Astyanax mexicanus: one gene and its partner. The protein of the gene in region 2 purifies or fractionates together with the protein of the main gene of each other region. This does not show direct contact. Links are inferred from orthologs where the notes say so. Each region holds a gene or a part of one and is shown on either strand. Other genes may lie near its edges.

The links.
Region 1: the proteins of pop1 (region 2) and rpp38 purify together in Homo sapiens (affinity purification with mass spectrometry; 3 studies listed by BioGRID and IntAct, with this or other methods). This does not show direct contact. The link is inferred for Astyanax mexicanus from reciprocal best matches to the Homo sapiens genes POP1 and RPP38.

Annotation. Positions count from the first base shown.
Region 1 is NC_064408.1:111,996,483-112,002,868, reverse strand, and holds rpp38 (ribonuclease P protein subunit p38), read left to right. Parts: upstream 1-4,465; 5' UTR 4,466-4,696; coding exon 4,697-5,578; 3' UTR 5,579-5,620; downstream 5,621-6,386. Other genes in the region: acbd7 (acyl-CoA-binding domain-containing protein 7), read right to left, coding at 131-142. UniProt on the Homo sapiens protein: Component of ribonuclease P, a ribonucleoprotein complex that generates mature tRNA molecules by cleaving their 5'-ends. Also a component of the MRP ribonuclease complex, which cleaves pre-rRNA sequences.
Region 2 is NC_064408.1:108,228,003-108,235,416, reverse strand, and holds the start of pop1 (ribonucleases P/MRP protein subunit POP1), read right to left. Parts: upstream 3,138-7,414; 5' UTR 3,001-3,137; intron 1-3,000. UniProt on the Homo sapiens protein: Component of ribonuclease P, a ribonucleoprotein complex that generates mature tRNA molecules by cleaving their 5'-ends. Also a component of the MRP ribonuclease complex, which cleaves pre-rRNA sequences.

The DNA.
Region 1 (6,386 bases), about 3.8 Mb from region 2:
AGTGCAGAATGGGCCTTAGCTACACACACATCCAGCTGCTAACAGGTACCACACACACACACATGCACACACACACAGTACAATACAGGCACAATAAATAAAACATGGAAAAAATACATAAACCACCAACCTGCAGAGTCATTTTCCCAGGCGAGAGAGAGAGAGCTGGAGTATGAGATAGTGAGAGTGTGTGTGTGTGTGTGTGTGAGAGAGAGAGAGAGAGAGAGAGAGAGTGTGTGTGTGTGTGTATTCCTGCTGCGTCTTCTGCACTCAGCGTAGACCTGCTGATGAATTACAGTTTACGGTATCATCGTGCACAGTCGCAGTGTGGCAGCCTGAACGCTGATTGGCTGAGCAGAGAGCCAATCAGAATGAGCCAATCAGCACACAGCATTACTGATGACAGAGGAGCACATGCACACCGAGCCCAGCCACAACATTAAAACCACTGACAAGCGAAGTGTATGCAATTTCTAGCATCAGAGAATTAAACCCAGCCACACCACCCTCCCTTATAAAATAACTACATACAAAATAGGGAAGAGTTCCCAGGAGGCGTGAGTCTCTCATATCAGAAGAAATAATATCATTTAGTTCAAGGATTCATGGAGACTTTATTGTCATTCACATCACATGTGGTACATGAGGTGAACCGAAATTGTACTCTCAGGGTCCAGATACACAGATAAAGAGCGATTGTTAAAATAAAATCAATATAAAGATGAAATAAAATAAGATATAATAAAATAAAATACTAAAATAAAATAAAATAAAATAGATATCAAGATAAATACACAAAATATAAAGGAGAGTAGGAAAGCAGCAGCAACGTGATGTCCAGAGTACATATATATAAACTATATATTTAGTTTTAATTATTTATTTATATTTTTATTTATGCTTTATTATTTTTATTTCCATTTTTATTGTAATTTGTAAAGCACTTTGAATGACCATTGTGTAAGAAAGGTGCAATATAAATAAACTTGCCTTGCCTTTGTAGCATCATAGATAATTATGAATGAAGAGCAGTAACATATTACAAGTTACATAATAGGTGTGTGTGCCAAATCAGATAGGTACACCTGTCCCTCAGGAGATAACACTGTTCAAGACTGTCCTCTCAGCACTGCAAACTAAAAACTCTGAGACACATATTGGGTCTTTCCAATGGACACACCCCCATCTCCACAGAAACACCCTTTAGAGATGCCCTGTTACATTATTTTTTATTGTTCTACCTTATTCTGCACTAATAGTTTATTTATGGTCCACTGTTTACATCTCTACAAATTTGTACAGATAGATTAATATATAACTGTGTATTTGCACATTCTTTTTCTATTTGCAGCGCGTTTTTCTATTTGCAGCGCGTTTTTCTATTTGCTGCGCCTGTGTTGTAATTTTGATGGATGTGTTTTATGCTTTTGCAGGGCTTTTCAATTTGCACTGCGTTGGGCTTTCTCGGCCACCGTAGCACTCTCCATTATGTGCTCTAATTTAAAGTGGGCAATGAAGTCCCCTTACTCTCTAACCTGACCCTGCTCTTTTCTTTGAAAAAACAATTCAATATCTGTGGCTGATACTGAATATCCACACACACACACACACACACACACACACACACACACACAGGACGTATCAGGAGTGGAACATCACCTGTCTCATCACATCTTCTACAATTCTGCACTATTAATTAGCTACTACACATACAGACAGTACTAGTCTAGCACACTGGTTTTAATAAAAACACAAACTGACCAATGAAATGGCAGCCAGCCTCATTCTCCCCAGCAGCACAGAGAGAAAGTGGATTGTACCATTTGTGTGTTGAGGAGAGATTACTTTATTTTTATTCTAGAAATTCTGTTAATGATATACTTTTTTAGTTTGGAAGATTTTTCAGCTTATCTAATTCTGTTTAAATATATATATTTGTTACATTTTAGGAGTGCTTGTTGAATTTAGGGATGCTTGAGCCCCCCTAAAAAGGGGCTAATAATGCCCCAATGGAAATCTCCCAAACCAAAAACCAGCTGGTTGAGCAGCATAGCTCTTGATATTTCTGTTGATCTGCAGGCCAAGCAAAACCATCTGACTAAAACAGAAAGCCAGTATGAGCAAGTTGGCCAGGCTGGTTTGTGTCTAAGCTCAGAGAACACATGGACTGAAGTACAATTTCAGATATGAACATTAAACAATCAATTAATAATCCAAATTAACAAGCTTGTAACACATATTTATTTTATAGTTTTAATCAAATATATATATAAAAAAAACAGGGATTAAACTGCATACTAGTATTCTGAGCCTGGTTTTCCAACAGATTTGTATATGTATATATATATATATATATATATATATATATATATATATATATATATATATATATATATATATATATATATATACATTTAATGATTTAGACTTGGCATCTCCTTCCAACTGCCAAAAGTACCAATTGGTCTTACTCCTATATAATATATACATCTACTGAGATACTGTCTTTTGGCTTTTCATTAGCTGTAACCCATAATCATCAAAAATAAAAAAATAAACACATCAGTTACTGTCTATACTAGTTGTTAATTACTGTATATACAAGTAAATATTATTTCCTGACTTTACTGTTGTTATCTTTGTTGATCAAAGAAGAATAAGGTCCTCTGAGACCTTCTTTCTCTGCAGGTTTATTCTTTCCACTCTGGGGACGCTTTCTCTTCGCCATTATACTGTTGCCAGTGGTTTGCTCATTTGGGGCTTGAACAGAGATCTCTGTAAAAGCTGCTTCATGACAATGTCTTCAGCTTGTAAATAGGGTTGTAAAAGCACATCTATAAACCAAAATCTAATTTTAACTAATTTGACAGTGATATACCAAAAAAAAAAAAACACATCACATGACATATAAACAGCAAATTCTTGTCATTTATGTATTGGTAAAAACGTGTATATACTTTTTTGTACTGTTACTTTATTTTATCCTGTCTAATCACGTGAAATTTAACAACTCATCTTTAATGTGCAACACATAGACAGTAATCATATAAAATTATCATTATCATATAAAACATTTTCAAAAATATACTGCAATGCTTGAAATATGTTTAATTAATTTGTTATGACTAAACATTTCACAGATGTGGGACTAACAAAGGATTATTTTATGTTTATTTGAAAATGCATGATTTTTTTTTCCTTAATATTCTGCAATACAATACTGTAATATTAGAAATACATGTTGGAATAAAAAATGCCTTCTCTTTGTTTTCTCTTTAAAAAAAATGCTTGTGTATATATTCTTCTATTTTCTGTTGGATGTAGTTTATGGATACCGCTATACTGTTTGTATTACATTCCAACAGATACTGTGGGACTAATAAAGGATTATCTTAAGTAGATGAAAATGAACAAACTTGTATATTTCCTAAATACACTGCAATACTGCAATGTTTGAAATACATTTTGTAGTTCATAGGTTTCCATGCATTTTTTTTAAAGAAAGCTTTTCTATTTTTTTAACTGTTTATGGATACTTCTATCTAGTTTCTATAGCTTTGACACTGTGACTTTATTATTCCCACATCTGGGGAATTGTCAGAGGGAAACATGTATTTTTCCTTAACCCCTTTACTGGCCTTTGAATGTATACAGGCTACAAGTGTAGGTGATACAAAATCCTTTTTCTCTGCAGTAAAATAACTTATTTACATTTTAAAGACTATGAGGGCTTTTAGTGTCTACTCCACTAAATAATTCCAGATTAGTAACAGGAATCAACCCAAATTCTGCAGGTTTGAAAGTAAACATAAAATCTAGACAACTGTAACAAAACGAAAGGTTTGGGGGACATGAACTGTTTGATTTGCATTCAGGAAAATAATGATTTTAAAATGATCCAGAAAATCTCGCTATCTTTAAGAGACTCCTGAAAGAGCACTTACTCTCCTAACACCTCTAACACACTAACTACTTCTAACCCCATTTCCTTCTTCCCCTCCTTCACTTCTCTATCCATTTATTTCCCTTCGACCTCCTTTAAGCCCTATCTAAAAATGGGTTATCTAAATTCCTATTACTTTTGTACTTCATTATTGTAAGTCGCTTTGGACAAAAGCGTCTGCCAAATGAAATGTAATGTATTTCTAATACATTTACAATTGGAATTTGTAGAAACGTTTATTATCAAACATGAAATCTTTTTTATGCAATGCTTGAATAGAAATCCTCAAGATTTAGGTATGTAACATTAGGCAGAAAATTTATAAAAATGCTGGCCTGTTACTGAATACTGAAATGCTTAAAATATATTTAAAATACGATTTAAATTGATAAAATACGTTTAAAATATATTTAATATAACATATTAATAAATAATGTGTCCATTATGTGGTAGTGTAGTGTTATATAGACCCTGAACACTAGGGGGCGGTGTGGCTTTTTAACACTCAACGCTCCGAACCAGCATGGCGGCGCCCTGTAGCAGCACACGTGTTCTATAGATAGCTGATGTTATGTTGAGCTCAGTGCACACATGTGAAAGCTTTCTGATCTGATCTGAGGTGGAACATCTCTGAACACCACTGTTCAGAGCACCGAGGCTGTGGAGGACCTTTATAAAGCAGGAGCTGGTTTATATATAAAGTTATTTAGTTTGTTTTAGTATCTGTGGCCACGCTGGAGTTATGAGAGCAGGATGAGCACTCCGGGAAAAGCAGCAAAGAAGGAGAAAAAGAAGCCCATCCCTGTGAAAACCTCTCTAAACAACCCTTACGATCTCAGATGGGCTCCTCTGGAGAAGGGCCAGAAGGCATTTATTCTGAACTGCCTCACAGAGACGATAGAAGCTCTGGGGCTTAAGAAGATCCAGGTACGAGTGAAGGGGCTCCGCAGCAGCAGGAGGAGGAAATCCAAGCAGCGGGACTCGAAGCCCCCCGAAGCCGAAAAAACTGCTCGGCAGCCAGGCTGGAGCGACGAGGCCTCCCGGAGGCAGCTGGCCATCGGCATCAACGAGGTGACCAAAGGCCTGGAGAAGGATGAGCTCAGCCTGGTGCTGGTGTGCAGCTCCATCAGGCCAGCCCACATGATCAGCCACCTCATCCCCCTCAGCAGAACCAGGGCGGTGCCGGCATGCCAGGTGCCCGGCCTCAGTGAGGGTCTGTCTGGGGCTCTGGGTCTCAGCAGCGTGCTGGCACTGGGCTTCAAACGAGGAGACACCGCCTTCTCCAACACAGTAGGGGAGATAGCCTCCAAGGTCCCTCCCCTCTGTGTGCCCTGGGTGCCCACTGAGAAGGAGCCAGCCAGGCTGGAGGACCAGAGCCTGGGAGGAGACCCCCATCCTGGTCCTACTGATACTGGAGATCTTACTGGAGATCCTTCAGATCCAGTTAAGACTGAAACGCAGACTGAGGAGCCCCCCTCAAATCCACCAAGGGGTCAAAAGAGGAAGCTTGACCTTTCACATGAGCCTGGACAAGACCCAACCCCAACACTTCAGCCTCTCAAAGTCAAGAAAACCATCCCAAACCCATCAAAAATCCGGAAACCCAAGAAAAAGAAGGCATCAGCTCAGAAGTGACAGTCTGAAAGAAACAATTGCACAATTGCTTTTTTTTTTATTCATTGGACAAATCATAAATCATTGTAAAGACATTTAGGATGAGTTGATGTGAAAAGGTGAACATGTAAAGATTCCAAGAAATGCAGCCAAGAAGGAGAAAAAGAAGCCCACCTTTGAGAAAACCTCTCTACACAACGGTTACGACTTCAGATGGGCAGATGAAATGGTGAAAATGTAAAGTCTCAGCAAACAAATGTTACATGTAGAATTAGAATTGTACCCATTATTATTTGTATTTGAATTATATTTGCACTGGCATTACAAAAAAGCAAGCATTGTCTAGGACTTAATCTCATCTCCATGCCTGTGCCTTTACAAACATATAATAGTTTTCTTTAGATATTGCTTTGTCTATAAACAATGCTGTATGTCTCTTAAAATGCAATTAGGGCTAAAACCTTGTTATAAAACCGGTTCAGCAATGTTTTGTCACAATTTCCTTTGTAAAAAATATCAAGCTCTTCAGATGTCTTGTGTTCACCACAACACTGTGAACAGTTCTGTCTCAATATTTCACATCAAACATATATTTTAAATAACTATACATACAGCCCTAAAAAAAGTATAAGAATATAATCAAGAGGAAGATGGATGATCTGCTTAGATTTTTGCACCACCAGTGGCATAAAGTTATCCAAAAGCAGCGTGTAAGACTGGTGGAGGGGAACATGCCAAGATGCATGAAAACTGAGATTTTAAACCAGAAGTTTTCCACCAAATATTGATTTCTGAACTCTAAAAACTTTATGAATATGAACTTGTTTTC
Region 2 (7,414 bases):
CTTTTCTTTTTTCTTAATTTTCTAGTTGTGAAAAGCCAAAACGAACAACTAGATCATTAAAAAATTAGATAAAAACACATTTCTTCTTTATTATACTGAATGGAAAAAAAAATAAAAATAAGTTTTATACCCATTTTTTTTTTATTTTCGAATTTAGCTTGATACGGTAATCTGTCAAACCATGATACCCTAGTGTATAATTTAACCACAGAAAAAAGCACCATATTAGAGCATGTTCCCAGCAGAAGTCCCAGTAGATGTAGCGTTAGTATATTTGGATAGCATAAATCACTGTATCATGGTAAAGTTATGTCAATGAGAGGTCATTACAAACTGGTTTTGTATTAAATGTATTAAATAATAATTGTATTTATTAAGTTGGCTTGTCAAAGCCAACTTATAGTTCTTCTTATTCTTCTTATTATTATTATTCTTCTACGCTAAAATTTCTCAACGCTACTCCTCCTACAGTTTTCGAGCTAGAACCACCAAACTTCACAGGTTGGTAGAAACCATAGCCACTTAAGTTGCTTGTGCTTTTCTAAGCGATCGGAGAACCAGGGTTCTAGCACGGTTCCGTCAAAGTCACTTTTTTCCCCATAGACTTCCATTCACACTTTTTTCAAACTGCTGTAAAAGTCACAATTTTCAAGCTAGAACCACGAAATTCACAAGACATACAGAACTTGCAGAGACGTTTCAGACGATATGCTGATCTCACCGATACGATTTACGGTTTTCGTAAAAGTATCGTACGAACTTTCCCCATAGGAATGAATGGGCGGAATGTTGGCCATCTCACACACACCAGCCGATCCTGCGCACGGCCCCCCTCTCTGCCCTGCTCCTCAGTACTGTATCTGTATGGAGAAGAGACTGCTGAACACAACCCACACCAGAACCAATACCACACTACACACACCACACACACACACACCACACATACACCACACCACACACACTTCAAACCACACATACCCCACACCACACACACTCCACATCACACATACCACACACTTCACACCCCACACCACACACACTCCACACACTCACCACACGACACACAGTCCACTCCCCACACTCACTCCACACCACACATACTCCACACCACACAAACTCCACAGTCCACACCACACACACACCCCACACCACACACAGTCTACACCCCACACTACACACACTCCACACCACACCCTACACACATTCCACACCACACATACCACACACCAAACACACTCCACCCCACACACTCCACACCACACATACCCCACACCAAACACACTCCACACCAAACACACCCCACACCACACACAGTCTACACCCCACACTACACACACTCCACACCACACCCTACACACATTCCACACCACACATACCCCACACCAAACACACTCCACCCCACACACACTACACACCACACATACCCCACACCAAACACACTCCACACCAAACACACCCCACACCACACACAGTCTACACCCCACACTACACACACTCCACACCACACCCTACACACATTCCACACCACACATACCCCACACCAAACACACTCCACCCCACACACACTACACACCACACACACCCCACACCACACACAGTCTACACCCCACACTACACACACTCCACACCACACCCTACACACATTCCACACCACACATACCCCACACCAAACACACTCCACCCCACACACCACACATACCCCACACCACACACACTTCAAACCACACATACCCCACACCACACACAATCCACACCACACAAACCCCACACCACACACACTTTAAACCACACACACTCCACAGCTCACATACCCCACACCACACACACTCCACCCCACACATACCACACACAATTCACACAACACCACACATTCCACACCACACATACCCCACACCACACACACTTTAAACCACACACACACTCGATAGCTCATATACCCCACACCACACACACTTCACACCACACATACCCCACACCCCACACACTCCATACCACACACACACTCCACAGCTCACATACCTCACACCACGCACACTCCACCCCAAACATACCACACACTTCACACCCCACACCACACATACCCCACACTCTCCATACCACACACACACTCCACAGCTCACATACCCCACACCATACACACTCCACCCCCACACATACCACACACACTTCACACCCCACACCACACATACCCCACACTCTCCATACCACACACACACTCCACAGCTCACATACCCCACACCATACACACTCCACCCCACACACACCCCACACCACACACACTCCACACCTGACACAAACCCCACACTCCACCACACATACACCACACCACACACACTCCACACCACACATACTCCACACACCACACCACACTCTCTACACACCACACCACACACACTCCACACCTGATACACACAACTCACCCCACACTCCACCACACATACACCACACTCCACACCACATTCCAAACACACCACACCAAACACACTCCACAACCCACTCCACACCCCACACACTCCACACCACACACACACTACACAACTTAGTAACTATTTGACAAGCCAACTTAAAGTTCGTTCACGAACTTTGCCTTTTCTAGTTACTATTATTATTTTTCATTTAAACTTTTGTGCAATGACAGTGATTCGATGTTGTTTAACGCACACAAAAATAGAATTATTATAAACAAACACGAGAAATATTTAAAAAGTGTAGGTCAGCGCATGCGTAGTGCCTTTAGAAAGTACGTATTGATGGGCAGCATATATCGACTGAACAACAGTCAGAAATTAACTGCTAAACGTTACACCCATCGGGAAAGATCAGATCTAGCTGGAAAACAAACACACTTCTGACAGTATTTCTGCTGAAACAGCGAGATGAATTCGCTACTGCTGCAAAACCACGCCGCACTCAGACACTCTGATCACACCTGATTAAAATCATTAATATTAATGAATTAATTCACACGCTGTAATGAATAATCATGTAATCAATGCTCACTGTAGCGCCGGATCAAACGCAGAAGCGTAGAGAGCCTGAATAAGACGAGTTAACACTTTAGTCCTGAACTGAGCTCCACTGTGAGTTAACTGCTTCCCCACCATCAGCACGCCACTACCCACACACGTGTTCCAGCACTTCCGGGTACAAGGGGCTTATGGGAGTTGTAGTTCTGCGACAGAGGCTTGCTTTTTTAAAGAAGAAAAATAAAATAAAAACGACATAATATACATTTACTCATGGCATTTACTTACATTTATGATATACACCAAATAAAACTAGAAAAAAAACAACAGATAGATAAAACGTTTATTTTAAGTTTTTTTTCTCCTGTTTAAATGTATACATCATGTGCAATAAATTAACACATTTTTATTTATGATCAAATAAAAAAAAAAAAAAATATATATATATATATATATATATATATTCAATTGAATATGTGCTTAAAATTAGACAGTAAATTATCAGTAAAGATTATTATTCTAAAAACTACAATTAAGTACATGATAAACACAGAAATAAAATTCAAGAAAATGTTAAAATACAGTACCAGTCAAAAGTTTGGACACACCTCTTCTCATTCAATGTGTTTTATTCTTTTTAATGATGTTTTACATTGTACATTTAATATTAAAGACATTAACGCTATACAGGAACAGGCAGAATTATTAAGTTAAACAAACCAGAACACGTTTTATATTTTAGATTCTTCTAAGTAGCACATTTATCTTTGAGGACAGATCTGCACACTCTTGGTATTTTAATCTCAGTGTCTTCATGAAGTAGAGATACCTGGAATAGTTTTCTCAGTGTCTGGAAGGTGGAGTGTCCTGGAGGTGCTGAACACTGTGAAGCTCTAGATCATCTCAAATCACTCATCACAGTTGATCAGGTTTAGATCAGGGGATTGTGGACAAACACTTTTTATTGTTTAATACGTAATCCCATATGTGTCCCTTAATTGATTGTTTGAATCACATTTTATTTATGCTTTATTCTTCTTTTATTATTTCCATTTTTATTGTTATTCTCTTACACGTTTATGTGAGTCTTTTTGTATTTTCTAATTTATAAATCACTTTAAATGACCATTGTGTATGAAAAGTGCTATATAAATAAACTTGCTTTCATGTCTTTAATAGTAATTTACAATGTAGAAAATACATTAAATAAAGAAAAACGTTGCATCATAACATTTATCAGTTTAATTTTATGTTTCAGGATAAATTTAAACATAGAAAATTGTTTATAAAACTTGTTACAAAAATGTTTTTTTTCATTTACTTCAGTAAAGAAGAAATTGATCTGCTTTTGCAATCTTTAGTGTTCTATTTCTGACTTTCACTAACAGAACTGAAAAATTTACTCTCCTTTCAACTCTTTTTTTTAGATGTAGAACTTAATAATAAACTTACTATTGTTACAAGAAAAATCTAAAAAATTGACAGAAGATTTTTTTTATTTGTCCTAAAATTGTGAGGTGCAGAAATAAAGAAAATAGAAAATTGGAAAATTAGATTAAAAAAAAAACTATTTCTTCTATACTGCACCAAATTGTAAGAGTTACATAATAAAGGTGTTTAACCACCAATTTTCTATTTTCGAAATTAGCCTAAACTGAACTGATAAACATTACACTGACTGAGAAGCTGCGTCATAACTTTTGACTGGTACTGTACATTGTAAGTATGTGTGCATGTATCTTTATACAAACTATCGATGTTCCTACGATGTTAAAAATGAAATATGGCTGTATTTATACAGTATTAAATTAAAGTTAATGCTACTGCTGCTACAGAGTTGGTATAGTTGACAGTCAAAGGTGAGGTAGTTTACAGAAATGACAAATAATCTGCAATGAAATGCTGACAGTAAGAGATTACATACTATAAATGTTTTCTTTCCTTTTTTTTTCTTGTGCTGATAATTAATTGGCCCATCATCTATGTTGTTACATGTGTTGTATTCAGGAACCTTGCAGCTCTAAAAACTGAATAACACTCTGATAATAATCCAGCAAAATGATCTAACAGTCTTTTTGGGTGGAAAAACAGCCCTGCAGCTTTCAGAGGCAGTCTTGTCAACAGAATATCAAATATGCGCACCATCTGCTTTTTTTTTCTTTTTTTAGAATTCATGCCCTTCAGGAAGAGAAGAACAGGGACCACAGCCAATCTCTCATTCAAGTGCTTACGAAAAACTGCTGAGAATAAGAATTCCTAAGAAAAGATTCAACAGAAAAATACATATTTCAACATATTATATTATATTATTCTAATTCCGAACTACTGTAAACCAAGTCTCATTTCTTACTTTAGGCAAATGTGTGTATACTACTCTCTCACCTGCTCATCTGGTCCCAGATGCCATAAAGTTATAAAATCATCCTGCTTTGAGGCAACTCCCTTTGCTGGAACTTATCTTAAACAGACGAGTTTGAGCTGGTTTAAAGGAATCACTGCAGGGAGAAACATGCCTACATAAGCAGAACTAAACTGTCACTACAGATCATTCTGTCTGCATACACTCAATCCATGCTGTGAAGCATGAATAATGTGGGAAAGTGTGAAGACACACTCCTCACTAATGCTGCAGTTCTGATGTGTTCATAAACTCTGTGTAATGTCTGTGGACAACCCTGGTAATGAATGCATCATTTAGCTCCTTTATTTTGCATCCATTTCTGACACTGAATGATGACTGTAAATGCATATCGTCGCTGTCCAATGAAAAACAAGTATCTCCAAAACAGCAACTTTACAGGAGAGATATAAAACCTTTTTTAACTTTCAATGGATGTCAATGTTCAAATAATTTGGGAGGATTTCTATTGGCCCATAAATCAAGACATCCTGACAAAGTATAAGGGAAATGTGGGTAGTTGAAATAATTTAGTAAGCTAAAAATCAACAAAAATGGAGATACTTGTTTTATATTGGACAACAACGATAAAAAGAACTGGTATAATTAATGTACATATTTATTACCAATTAAATAGAAACTTCTTAAGCAGATAAACATGAACTAATCAGCACCATGCCTAATGCCAGGCATGGGCTAGAGTTGTATAATACCTTTTATAATACCCCACAGCATTGAGCTGTGTAGCAGTGGAACTATGATATCTAAAATGGTGGTAAATGTATACATCCTGTGCAATAAATCAACACAATTTTTATTTATCATCAAATTTAAAAAATATATATTTTCAATTGAATATGTGCTTAAAAATAGGACAATCAGTTAAGATCATTATTCTAAAAAAACACAATTAAGTACATGATAGTACGATTCAGTACGTTTGGGTTGAGTTGGAGAGTTGGGGATGAGTTAAGGTGCTAATTTAGATTCCTGGCCTGTCTAACACCTGTCTAAGTACAGTAGTAACAGTCAGGCCTTTTAAAACAACCCCTGTAAAAGAAAAGTGTATTTAAGTATTTTTTTTAAAGTGTACTTAACATGAAAAAGTACATATTTTTTTTATTAAAATATGTACTTAAATAAATATAAAATGTACTATTTTAGAACAAATTACGGCAACTTAAGTATATTTCAATTGCAATAAAGCTATATTTAAACACAACATAAAATCATTAAATTGTTGGGGTATTCATTCCACTTGAGACCACAATGTAAATAATACAAAAGTTAGAAGTAAACTGACAAAATCAATGAACTAAAACTGAAACAAAGTACATTGAAAAAAAAAGAAAAAAAAAAAGAATTACAAAATCAAAAAATAAAAATGCACTACTGACTGTGTACTACAAAAAAGGAAGGGTTTTAGTTTGATACAATATAAATCACCAAAATCTGAAATAGTGTACATGGAACAGAGCATTATTCTGTCTTCATTTGCTATCAGGTTGGTACAAATTAGTGCAGTCACTGGTTGTTTGTGCATATTATTTGAACTGTAATAAATGTGCATTAAACTTTATATTATTCTTCAATCCAGAACAAATTAATTTTTCTAGCATGGTGAAAGTTATTAACATTACACTAGCTGACATTTGGCCTGCCATTTTAAATGTGTAAAGCTCATAATTCTGACTTTGCACCTGGGAAGTTGGACCTTTTAACTGGATTATATATAAAGGCAGCATTATCTCCCATCAGATCTGTGTTCATCTTGGCCATGTGATTGTATTAATAAGGAGACCCCACAGTGGTGCAAACAAAAATAAAAAAAACAGAAATTTCTTCATTAGTAAAAGTAACTTTATTGGTTCTGTACACTAAAAAATGTGAAAAAAGAAGAATCCCATGCAACTACAATACAAGTTTGCAACATGGGTCCTGCTACAGATTATGAATTCATTAGATACATTTTCCCAATAAAACCGTTAATGTAATTCTCACAGAGTAAACGGTTAAGAATCCAGGAAAAACCCAATAATAGTGAACTCTG